Tamandua tetradactyla: one gene and its partner. The protein of the gene in region 2 purifies or fractionates together with the protein of the main gene of each other region. This does not show direct contact. Links are inferred from orthologs where the notes say so. Each region holds a gene or a part of one and is shown on either strand. Other genes may lie near its edges.

Region 1 (6,307 bases), on a different chromosome or scaffold from region 2:
ACTGCTTGCTAGAATAACAGAAATTCTCCAAATGGGGAAGCTGAATATTGCCCCTTTTCTCCCTATTCCCCCCAAGGGGACTTTGCAAATACTTTTTTATTCACTGTCCGTATTTCTCTGGTATTTATTGGGGCAGCACACTAATCTGGACAAACCAACAAAATCTCATGCCCTATTCAAGATTCCATGTACTTATGGTGTTAACTAAACTGACCATACAAGTTAAATTAGGAAATGCACTAACCAAAATATAAATTTTGCACCAAATAAATATCTCTCCTTTTAGTCTCACATAGAAGTTGAATTTAAAACATGGAATCATCTTAATTTTCTTAAACTTCCATTTTTACTCAAGAAACTACAAAGAAGAAACAAAAAGTAACTGGGGCAGGCTAACATATCAACAATCCTTTGTGGTGCTAATTAAGACCTCTGCCTACATGGGAAAGAAGGAACTGTGACAAACAAGTCATGCTGAAAGTAGTAAGTCAGCTACTCATTACCAGATAACCCTATTCCTACACAAACATTTTGCCTGGGCAGCTTTTGCAGATTTATGGAACCCAAATACGACCTGCCCGAAGTGACTCACGGAGCTCACATCCTCCTTGCCTTCCTGTCCCATTCTCCCATACTTTCTTTGTTCTAAGCAGGAATATAAACTGTTTCCCCGCCACTTTTCTTTGAATAGTAAATTTCTTTTAGTTCTGTTCTCACGTGTATCACTTAGATCAATAAATGTATTCTACATCTTGGTTTTCAGAGTCTGCTTTTAACTTAATGATAGACAAGGCCGTAAGAAATTGCAGTCCTATATATTGTTGGTAGGAGGTTATTATTATGGTTAAATAATACCATTTGGCACTATCTATCAAAACTGTAACCACATCTGTCCTTCAATTGTCATGTGGGAATATATTCTGCCTATACACATATAAAATGATACATATATCTAGCTATGCAGTAGATGCCATAAAACTATAGCATAACTTCACTAGTAATACTCTCCAGCTCTATGAATGACCCTCTCCATAGTTACATATTAAAATCTCCAGGAAAAGTTAAAAGAAAAAAAAAGCAAGAACAGGGCAATGATACCGTGTGCTACTTTTTTTTTGTATCTTTAAAAGTTTTTTTTAAGAGGGTGGGCTACATTTTGTGAAAGCAAGAAGGAGGAAACTTTACATTTATTTGTTTGAATTTGCAAAAAAAAGACACTATGAGGATAAATGAGTAATTAATTTAATTACATGATGGTAGGATGTGTTGAGGAAATAACTAAAAACAAAATCTTCTCCCAACCCAGAAAACTTCTCCACAAAGGTAGAAGAGAAAGAAAAACAATTTTATTATTGAATAAGCATGAAACCAGAATGTGATGCATCACAGATAATCCGCAAAGATATTGCAAAGAAAGAAATTCCACTGTTTTATATAGCCAAACAGATACAACATGTTTTCAAGATAAACAGTCTGCAAATAAAAGGACTTGACTGTATCATTTGCCACACATAGTTCATCTTAAATTCACCTGGTGATTGGGGGTGGTCTTTGTGTTTGCCAGTTGCCTCTATTAAAAAATAAAATGTCTTTTATCTCTATGAGAGGTATAGATAGTTAACAATTTGGAGCCAGATGCCTAAGTTAAACTACTATGGAGATAGGGACTTGGGTGAGAACTTCCTTGATGCTAACATTTCAGAAAGAAACCTCCTAGGTCCTGGAGAAAAATATTCCTGGATTGTAAGGCAGGCAAAAGACTACGTAGTTTTTAAGAAGATTTAAATACATCTCAAAGGGGCAGAGAAAGGATTTACAATGTCAGGTTTTCTAAAATATGTTGTAAGAAAAGTGAATTGGGGGGGAGTCTTTTTCCCTTTTTGCACTTGGGAATTTTTTTTCCTTTTTTGATTAGAATTTATGCTTACGGATGGCTGTATAATTTTTCGTCCAATAGAACAGTTTCTACAGTGAAAGGGGTACGTTATTAATAATTATTTCAGGACAAAAGATGTAAATGTCACTATCCTGGAGAAACTGGGATGTATGATCAACTTACATAAAGATTACAGACTGGTAGGGGAAATGGGGACAATTTTTATTGTATTTTACAGAAGTATTAGCCTGTAATGAATTGGAAATAAACACAACTCATTCTTTACTACAGGTAATTTTAACAGTGCTGCCTTAAAGGAGGAGGAGCAGTAAACCACAGACAGGAGCCACGGAACTTAGTGAAAACGCGACTGTTTTGAGCACCCGGCACTTGCTGGAGTTGCACAAGTGACGCACTTGGAGCTGATCAGCCAATCTGAAGTCAGACACCCTGTGAGAGCGACTTGAGCTGGCCTCTGACGTGAGTTGGGGAGTTCGCGTCACTCGGCCCTGGGGGAGGAGCTAGGTCAGGTTCTACACCCATTCTTTTTCGGCGCTCTGGCCAACACAGACGCCACTCTGTGGCATCTCGGGCTCCCTCTGACTGCGCTCTGGAGGACCACCTCGTTTTCTTTTTGGCGGCGAAAGGTTCTCCCAGCCCCGGCTGAGCGGGAAGGAAGATGGCGGCAGCCGTGCGGCAAGATTTGGCCCAGCTAATGAATTCGAGCGGCTCTCATAAAGATCTGGCGGGCAAGTGAGTGTTTCCCAGGTGCACGGGAGTAGAGAGGTGGGGAGGGAAGCCACGGGACAAGTTCTCCATGGACTGTCGGCGACTATCGCGTATGAGCGAAAAGCGAGGCCCACGACCAAGGGGGGCGGACCTGAGGTCGATGGGAGAAGCAAATGTTGGGAGCAGTAGAAAGCTGGAGGGGACCTTGTGGAGGGGCGCTTGGGGCCGTAGACCTGGAATGACAACTTGTTCAGCCCTCGATAGCATCTTTACTGGCGTCTTGGGATCCTGGAATCGCGGCCTGCGAGACAGGCCTCGGCCTCCTCCGGTGCTTTTTCCCCGTCGCTACTCGGCTTCAAGCCGACTTCTGGCCTCTCTGAGACTTTTTTTTTTAGGGACATTTGTATTCCGAGGCTCCAGTGCAGAGTTTTCCCGGGAGACAGCTTCTCAGAGCTGGCAGGCTGAGGAGGTATGGCCGCTATCATGTGTTTAGAACCACTTGGACCATCTCCTGTGGGTCCTTATCTTTTTGTTACTCTCACTAAGCCGCCGAATCAGAAGAAGGGGGCATATATTTTTGGCATAAGGCGGAATGCTCTTATAATGTGAATCAGGATGTCTAGATTGGTAATTTCCAGAATCTGGATTGCTCAGTAATTTTATTAGAATTTATGTAAAGGCTTAGGTCCACTTCAAATTAAATATTTTGACATTATGCCTGTCCCTCATCGACCTGCAGCCAGATATTTAGCAATGTTAAATATGCATACATAAATGTATGTAAGTATAAAAATACATATATAAAAGTGTACATGAATCATATACCGTTTTCGTTTTGTAGATTTCTCAGCCCTCCTTTCCCATACTAAACAAGCATTCTGTTAAAAATATGCCTTTCAAGTTGACCCAATGTTTATATCCTGACAGTGTAGACCACACCGATTTATGTTAATGGGATACACCTGCCTTTACCTGGCCATTGAATTTTTGACCCTTATTTTCTTTTTTTTAAGGTACTCTGTGCTACCTTTTCTGTGGTGGCAAATATTATCTTTTTTTTTTTTTTTGCATGGGCAGGCTCTGGGAATTGAACCCTGATTTCTGGTATGGCAGGCCAGAATTCTGCCCCTGAGCCACCGTTGCACCGCCCAAATATAATCTGCTTTTATCATTGTGAAATTTAGCTGTGTATCTTGGGCTTAATTATTTTGTGAGACAATACCCCAATCAGGAAAATGGGAATAATTATAGGACTTATACGTAGAGTTGTTTGAGGATAAAGTCAATGTGTGTTTGAGGACAAAATGAAATGTGTGTGTGTGTGTGTGTGTTGTGTACACTCGTATCACATAGAACAGTACCTGGTGCTATAAGGTTGCTGTTGGCAGTAAGTAAATACATACTGACTCATTTCATGGGTGAAAATAAGTTAACTCTGTTTCCATGGTTCAATCCTTTATTGCATGTAATTTTGATAGATTTGGATGGAAGTAAAACGAGCTTTTATTTTTCTCCATGCTTGCTTTGCTTTTTAGTTTCTTGAAGAAAATAAATGTATTAGTTATCAAAAGGGACACTGCTTTTCAAGTATTTGCGGAATTCAGAAGCTTTAGCTAAGCATTTACTTCTTCAGCTTTGAAATGGAAATAAATACTACTACCTATCTCAGAGATGCTAAGGTATCTATTGTTTAACACTTCAAAAACTTAGTGGTGTAAAAGCAGCTAGTATTTCTCAGGATTCTTTGAGTTAATAGGGCTATTTTGCTGGTTTCATTTGAGTTCACTAAGGTAGGTGAAATCAGCTGGAGGTACAGGATCTAAATGGATTCTTCCCACTGGAAGTATTCCTAAGGAGAATTGGTGGGTATAATAAAGGACATGAAGATTTTAAAGGCTTAGTGTCTGTTGCCGTATATTGTATGTCTTGTTTATGAGACTACTTGTCTCATAACACGTTAGCCGATGTCAAGTATTATTTAAAAGAAACGAACAATGAAAGAAAATGTTGCTAATTTGGCAGGCAATATAAATTTAAAAAAAGATATCTAATTATTGAATAAATGATTCTTTTTAAAATCAAGTTAGTCTCTCCTAGTAGTATAAGATCTTAAGAGTTTCCTGAGAAACTAGAACTTTGTTTAAACACTGAAGTATGAAAATTAAAAACAGGTTCCTTTAGTTACTAGTTTCTACTGGTTTTGCTAATAGCACAATGAACTGAAATCCAGTTTATTGTGTTATTAGCAAACTTGTGGAGAATTTAACTAGCTTTTTAGAGGTAGAGATAACTGAAAATAGGTAATTTACTTTGGTGAAGCATAAAGAATTAAAGTACTTAGATGGTGGATAACAATTTGCATATTTAATAAAATTCTTAAGTTTTAACTTTAAATTTAGATTTGAAAGATTAGGACAATACAGACATAAGAAAACAGAATGATTTTCTTATAATGTATGTGGAAGTTCCTGATAATTTCCTGTAGTTAACTTCACTACTTCTGAATAGTCTCCTAAAATATTTCAAAGAACTTTAGAAGAAGAGAGTCTGAGAGGGAGCATTTGGGTAGATAGTTCTTGTGATAATCTGTCTTACCTGGCTAAAACCTACTTGGTTCTTCAAAAATCAGTTCAGATGTTAACTTTTTCTAGACAGACTTCTCTAAACAACCACCAATGAATGCACAGACCCCACCCCCAGACAGGACTTACTTAGCTGCTCTTCTCATGCACAGTGGCATCTGATATTTACCACTGCCATAGCACTTGTTTTGTTTGTTTACTTTTCTGCTTTCCCAACTAGAATGTGATCTCCTCATGGACAGGTACTAGGCCATGAATATTAGGTCCTTGTCAAGTTAATCCTATGATAATATGTACTTTTTTTTTTTTTCCCCAGTTCTGGGTTATAGTAGTACACTAAGGAAGAGAGTGGGCTCTTGTAGTCTAAACATTTCATTTTACAAGAAGCTGGAAAGAGGAGAATAAAGGGAGACCTCTTAGCTAACTCTGAGTATTAGAAAGACTGTTTTGCAGAAAAGGAAATAGACTTATTATTTGCCCTGTGGAAGTAGACTTTAGGCCACAACTTAGCTGTCCAAAAATGGAATGAACTCTAAGTGACGAGCTCTATCTCCTTCCTCATTAGTCAAGTGGACTCCAGCTAGAGATGTTTTAACAGTAATTTCTATCTTAAGTAGGATAGACTGTATATCCTAGAGGCCCCTTCCATCTCTTAGATTGTGCCAGTTTGAATCTGTGGTGGACCCCAGAAAAGCCGTATCCTTTAATCCTCATTCAGTATTGCTGGGTGGGAGCATTTTGATTATTTCCATGGAGCTGTGACCCACCCAGTTGTGGGTGGTAACTTTTGATTAGGTGATTTCCATGGAGGTGTGTCTCTACCCATTGAAGGTGGAGTTGCTTACTGGAATCCTTTAAAAGAGGAAATGTTTTGGAGAGAGTCCCTTTGGTAGAGCCATGAGAAAGCCAGCAGATGCTGCCGTGTTCGCCATGTGCTACTCCAGCTGAGAGAGAAACATTGAACTTCACTGGCCTTGAACCAAGATATCTTTTTTTCCCTGGATACTTTAAATTGGACATTTCTATAGACTTATTTTAATTGGGACATTTTCTCAGCCTTAGAACTGTAAACTAGCAACTTATTAAATTCCCCCTTTTAAAAGCCATTCTATTTCTGGTA
Region 2 (6,307 bases):
AGAAATAACACTATCTTTATTCACAGACGACATGATTGTCTATGTGGAAAATCTGATGTGTTCTACAAAGAAACTACTAGAAATAATAACTGAGTGTAGCAATATACCAGCTAAATATACAAAACCCAACTATTTCTATATACTAGCAAGAAACAATCAGAAATTAAAGTTTAAAATTCCATTTATAATATCACCAAAAATATTACTTAGGGATAAACTTCACAAAAGATGTGTAAGACCAGTATATTGAAACTAGAAAACACTATTGTTGACAGAAATTAACGAAGGCCTAAATGAATGGAGAGTTATACCTTGTTCATAGATTGACAGGCTAAATATTGTTAAGACATGAATTCTCTACACATTTATCTGAAGACCTAAAAAAATTCCAATTAAAATCTCAGCAGGCTTGTTTGTATAAAGTGACAAACAGACTCTAAATTTCTTACAGATTGCCAAAACTAGTTTGAAAATGAATCAAGCCAGACAACAAACATTACCTGATATCAAGACTTTTAACTCACATATATATGAGCAACTGAATTTTGACAAAGAATGGACGTTTGTACATCAAAATGTCAATAGTGCTTTTCTTTGGGTGATGGGAGCACAGGTGACTTAATTTTTTTTCTTTATACTTTTTTGTATTTTTTGCAATTTTAATAATGCAATCATTTATGTAACCAGAGAAAAGATAATCTAAAAAAATTCAAGCCCTTTTTATGGAAATGAACTGTGTGATATGACATTGTTACCTGAAATGTAGTAATATTGTCTGGTTAATAAACATTAGTCTTTAAACATAAGACACTGGAAAAACTAGTCCATTTGTAAACGAAATATACAAATAGCAAACTGTACTTTTAACCATTCTTTTCTTACTTTACAAATGGAATTTCATTACTTCAAATAAATGTAACAAATTTTGTCTGCATAACCCAACATGATAATCAATCAAAAGAACAAAGAAGAAAAAAAAATCTACGTTAGCAAGTGAAACAGTAGTACAAATTTCATAAAATAGAACTATAATTTTGCTACATATTTGGAAAATGTTAGGGGCATGTGGCTTTTAGAAATACCTATCCTCTTTATTGTAGTTGGATAACTTGAATATCTTTCTAGGCAAGTTAAGCCTGAAAACAAAATAAAAAGCCAACAACCAACAACCATAAATAATTGGTGACAGTGGGACACACTTTTATACAACCCTTTAATGTATGAGGCAAACATAGTGAGACATTTGGATTTATATTATTTCCTTCATTATTGACTCTGAAAACAATATTGAGCGAATTACGTAATTTAAATTTGTATCGTAACTCACAGGAATTGGATAATTAACTTAAGCCATAAAACAACCAGGTAATTGTAGAGACTAAATGCCATCCTAAACAAATTTTGAAGTCTTCCATGTTCAGAAAAATTCTGCATTCATGTCTCTAAATTCTGGCAAATTCTACTTTTTAACATACTTGGACGCTTACCTGGTAGAGCTCTTCGAGGTTGTATTTAATGGAGGTACTACTTTGTATGGCTTTCACTGCCTCATGAAGCTTCTGCCATGTATCCTGAGTGTAATTATCAGGCAATTTAGGTCTGTCTGCAAATCCAGATAGAGAGTCAGGGCAGAAAGACCTCCATGCTAACAGTTATACATCTCTTAAAATGGTCTACAAACCAAGAATTTAAAAGAAAAGACACATAGGTACGAACATAGGAAGTGAATTTTCTAAACACCATTTATAAATGTATTGGGTTACAAGTTATGCAACCATATTATTTCTGTTTTGCTAAATATATTCGGCATTGATACTTCGGATAAATACACGAAAGACAATTTATAAATCTTACAGTTTTTTTCCCTTAAGTTGATTTCAGAAAGGTAATAACATGGAATAGTTATTCTCTACACAATATTTTAAAATTATTTAAATTATGCAATGTTGGGAGGAAGGTGAAGAATGAGCTTAAGATTGTATATACCTGTATCAAAAACGCTTGCTTTGACCTATTATCCGAGATAGGGCTGGTAAAAACTGGAAAAATGTATAGCTTCAGAAGTTACTCTGGTTGAGCTGTGCGAATCAAGATGCCTTAATTATTTGACCTAATTTGTAATTTTCTATCAATTGCAGAGTAATGAAAAAACTGGTACAAATAAAACTTGGCACATTGTTAAATTACAGAATAAATCGCCAAAATCATGTAGTCATGTAAGGTTTTAAAAGCCCTTGTTTCACACATTTAAGAAAGGTTTTTTAGTTTTGATGTAGAAAATGCTCAACTCCGGCAGAGTTGCGGAAACGTGGCCTGCAGGATCAGGTTAAAATGCCGACTCATTGGGCCTTTTACTATCTTAGAAAAGAAATGTATTGTCCTATAACCCCTGCACAAGTTTTAAAACCTTCCTCCACTCCGTACCCAGAAGGTGTAGGGTCCAAAACCGTCTGGTGACCGGACCAAAGTGATGATCAAGTTTGAAAGTGACGTGATGAACAGCCACAGAGGGCTTGCACAGAAATCCAACGAGCAAACGATGGAAAGCTGAGGGGTTGGCCTGCATGCACACTGGGAAGTAGACGGTGGCGGGAGGCGGACCACCAAGTACCACAGCGTAAATGCCGCAGCCCCTCTTCCGCGCCGCCCAGCGCAGGCTAGGTCGGCGCAGGTCAGCCCGGCGCGTGCGCGGGGCGGGCGACCCGCGCCCCTTCCCCATTGGCCGTCCCCGCCCCGACGTCCCCTCAGCGCGGCCCAACGCGCCGGCCTCGCCCGCGGGGGGCGCAGGAAGCCGCTCTCGCCGCCCCTTCCTCCCGGGACGATCACCCCCGCAGCCTCGATGAGGTGCGTCAAGCTGGCCGCCGGGCTCCCCAGGGTCCCGGCGACGCCGCGCGGGGCCGGTGCGGCCCGTGACCCGTTTCGACTTAAGCTTCCCCTCCCCCACAGTAAGGCACGATCGCCCTCCTGCACCTACCTCGGAAATTTTTGATCACTAATTTCTTTGAGCCGCTGCCGCCCCCAGGTTTCGTGGAGACGGCGGCGGCTGCTGCGAGGGAAGCAGGTTTCGTTAGGCCATTGGTGTGTCCAACGAGAGCCGAAAAGTTCCCCTTCTTGGGGGTCTCGTCTGCCATGTCTACAGCCGAGAAAACAAACCGGTGGCGACCGCTCCGCCCCACCCCCACCCTTGGCCTGTCCCCTCCTCCAGTCGCGGCCCGGGCCGCGCTTCCTCCTCCTCCTCCTTCCCCCGCGGCCTGGTCTCCCCGCCTCCTTCTCCGCCCCCGCCCGGTGCCCCGGCCCCCTCTGGAGGTGATAGCTAGGCCCCGCCGGCAGGCTGAGGAGCGGAGGAAGCCGCGGGGTGTCTCCTTCGGGAGCGCGTTTCGGGGGAGTCTGTGCGGAGACGTAGGGGAGCAGTTCCTCTCAGCCCTCCCTTCTTCCCCAGATAAAAGTAATCTCAGCGCCCACACGGCCGCTTGGCTGGGAACCGGCGCCGGTGCGGAGTAAACACTGCCGCCGGCCGGAGCCGGAACCCGGCCTCCTCTCCGCCCCCACCGGCGGCCTCAACTTTCCTAGGCCCGCCCCCTCCCCTCGGCCCGGCTCCTCGGGACTCCGCCTCGGGAAGGGAGAGTCGGTGACTAAAAGGGGCCGGCCCCGCGCGTGGCTGCACGAGCCGCAGTGACTGCTGCCCTCTGTGGCTCAGCCCGGTCTTCCACGAGCTTCCTGCCAACCGCCAACTCTCATGCCCTTGCTATTGTTCTCAAGTCCCGTCTCTCCCGTCCCGTCCCCATGGCTCAGGTGCCCTCAGCTCGGGGCCGACTTAATGTCAATCTCCATCTTGATCTGTGTAATTGGATTCCGTTGCGTACACGGAAGCTTTGGTGCCCTGAGAGGATGAGGGGTTCTGGGGCGGCCAATCACGCTCACCTCCCCTGAGACCCCGCTCTGCGAGCCACCCGGGTCACTCAGCGTGAGGCCAACGGCCACTCCCACCGCGCGTGCGCGCCCCGGTACCCCAAGTACCAGGGCCTGAGAGTAGATCAGCGGCGTACGAGGGTTTAACACAGCGGATTTTTTTTTTCTTTTTAAATATGCAACAGTCGAGAGGAGTCGAAAGACAAGCTACGCTATGAGGTTGTCCTCTGCCACGAAATCCCAAACCCTCTCAGGTCTCAGGGGCCTTCCCATGACACTTCACCTATCCCTTCATCTATGATCTGACTTGCCCCAGTGCGTCCTGGGTGGGACCAAATTGGAAATGAGGACCCGAGGACACAACTCGGTCTTCCTCAGCCCATTTTTCCCGCTGTCCCACCCGACTGAGGCCCGGAAGTTCCAGCGCGCAGACAAGCCATCTCTGACTCCCGCTCCCGCGGGAATTCTTCAGGAGCCAACAGCTAAGGGAAGGTGTAACCAGACCACCTCGGAGGCTCGGGTTGAGAGACGGACCACGGCTCGGAAGTGACGCCAGCGCGCCAGCGGAAGTGGGAACTCAGCTTGTATTTCTGGAGATCCAGCGAGGGGCGGTGATCGTTGCTCACTCTTGCTTTGGACTCGGCGGTCCACTTCCATGGCTCACATCACTATTAACCAGTACTTACAGCAGGTAACTTATTGGCTGGGGGAGAATACAAGGTGGTGCTTTGATGGTTGACCCCTCGGCTGGTGTCACCGTTATGTGCCATCTTTTCGTAGTGCTCTTGAGGTCTGTTATTTCTTCCCTTTGCCTATTGCTCTTTTCACTGAATGGTTCACCTGAAGGGCAAGAGGATTTGAAGCAGGAATTGATATTATAGAGCATTTCAGGACTAAGGGTCAGAATGTCCTGCTAGCCTGTCATCGTAAGCAAGTCAATTAATGTTTGCTGAATATTTCTGAGCTCTTCTCTGCAAAATGGAAATTAATGATTTAAGCAGATATATTTATTGTACTTACAGGAGATTCGCTGCCTTTAATTTAGGGAAGTGTGTGTGTATGTATGTGTCTGTGTGTGTGTGTGTATAAAGGAGCTGTGTGAGTGAATGGATCATGATGTTCTAGTGTTCTAGTGGATCATGTTGAGTCTGTAAGCCACGCTAAGAAGTTTGGCCTTAGTCATTGAAGGATCTTATCCAAGGACTTGATTTAGTCACATTTTTGTTTCTGATAGTTAACTGGTGGAAGTTTGAAGGGTGAATTTAAGGCAACTCAAATAAGAGATGGGGCTGAATCGTTAAGAGGCTATTCGTGTAATTCTGGTGCGATCCACTATGTAGTCATAGTTAACCTTTAGTACACTCCTTCTCTCTGTTAACGCTTTGCATACTTTATATCCTTTAGTAAATGTGTCTCTCAGAAGTTTTGTCTTTACAGCCTGTAAATGGCAGAAGAACAGTTAAAATGTGTATTTCCAGAGCTAGAACTAGAACAGTGGTAGTAAGGATGAAGAAGAGAGGTAAAGAATTTAAGAAATATTTGAAGGAAACATCACCAGGATTTGGGATTAAGAATGTGTGGCTTGAGATACAGGAAGGTGTTAAGAATGATTTTCAGGTTTCTAGCTTAGGCAATGGATGAGTAGAAAACAGATTTGGAGGAAAAAATAAATAAAGATATCTAGTTGGTGGTTGACATGATTGGGCCAGTAATTACTTAGTTAATTGAAATAGTTGGTTAAAAATGGGAATCATGGAAAAAAAACAATTACATACTTTTATATGAATTTAAAACCTACAGCTATCCATTCCCTTGCCAATCTTTTGATATAGGCTTAAGACCTTTACTTTAAGGATAGGTCTGACTTTGTCTTGTCTTTGCAGAGTTAGCATTTTTCAATGTCAGTTTATTTAACAAGGAGGACATAGGCTATTGTGAGGGGATTTGAACATAGGATCACTATAGAATTTTATGTACTTCTTCATCTTTTTCAATTTTCTGCCTGCACCTAATTCCTTTTTTTAAAGATCACCTTTTAAGACCCTTTTTAAAGCATGCAACTTAGTTTGTGAGAAACTCCCTTTTTGCATTCATATTTCATCGGTGTCATTAAATACATGATTACAATAACATGCACAAATAGGAAAAACAGATGTGAGGATAAACACATCTGGATCTGGATACACACACAAATTACTTGGCAAAAGTTTGAGTGTTTATTAGAGTGAAACCTACCAGGTATAAGCCCTCATCTTGCCATGGGCATCAGCCAGTATTTTTTTGGAGGGTTTGGAGAGAATACGAAACTTACTTATTCTAGTTAAGTCAGTTAAGGTGAGGTTGGTAAGAAAGATTCTACTATATGGGAGTCTAGAGTTCAGTAGACAAGTTTAGGTTG

Evidence for each region.
Region 1: the proteins of CUL4A (region 2) and COPS4 purify together in Homo sapiens (affinity purification with mass spectrometry; 7 studies listed by BioGRID and IntAct, with this or other methods). This does not show direct contact. The link is inferred for Tamandua tetradactyla from reciprocal best matches to the Homo sapiens genes CUL4A and COPS4.

What each region holds. Positions count from the first base shown.
Region 1 is NC_135350.1:44,642,891-44,649,197, reverse strand, and holds the start of COPS4 (COP9 signalosome complex subunit 4), read left to right. Parts: upstream 1-2,352; 5' UTR 2,353-2,555; coding exon 2,556-2,629; intron 2,630-6,307. UniProt on the Homo sapiens protein: Component of the COP9 signalosome complex (CSN), a complex involved in various cellular and developmental processes.
Region 2 is NC_135330.1:183,683,474-183,689,780, reverse strand, and holds the start of CUL4A (cullin-4A), read right to left. Parts: upstream 4,037-6,307; 5' UTR 3,922-4,036; exon of another isoform or gene 3,134-3,921; 5' UTR 3,132-3,133; coding exon 2,975-3,131; intron 2,572-2,974; coding exon 2,425-2,571; intron 1,604-2,424; coding exon 1,488-1,603; intron 1-1,487. Other genes in the region: PCID2 (PCI domain-containing protein 2), read left to right, coding at 4,565-4,600. UniProt on the Homo sapiens protein: Core component of multiple cullin-RING-based E3 ubiquitin-protein ligase complexes which mediate the ubiquitination of target proteins. As a scaffold protein may contribute to catalysis through positioning of the substrate and the ubiquitin-conjugating enzyme.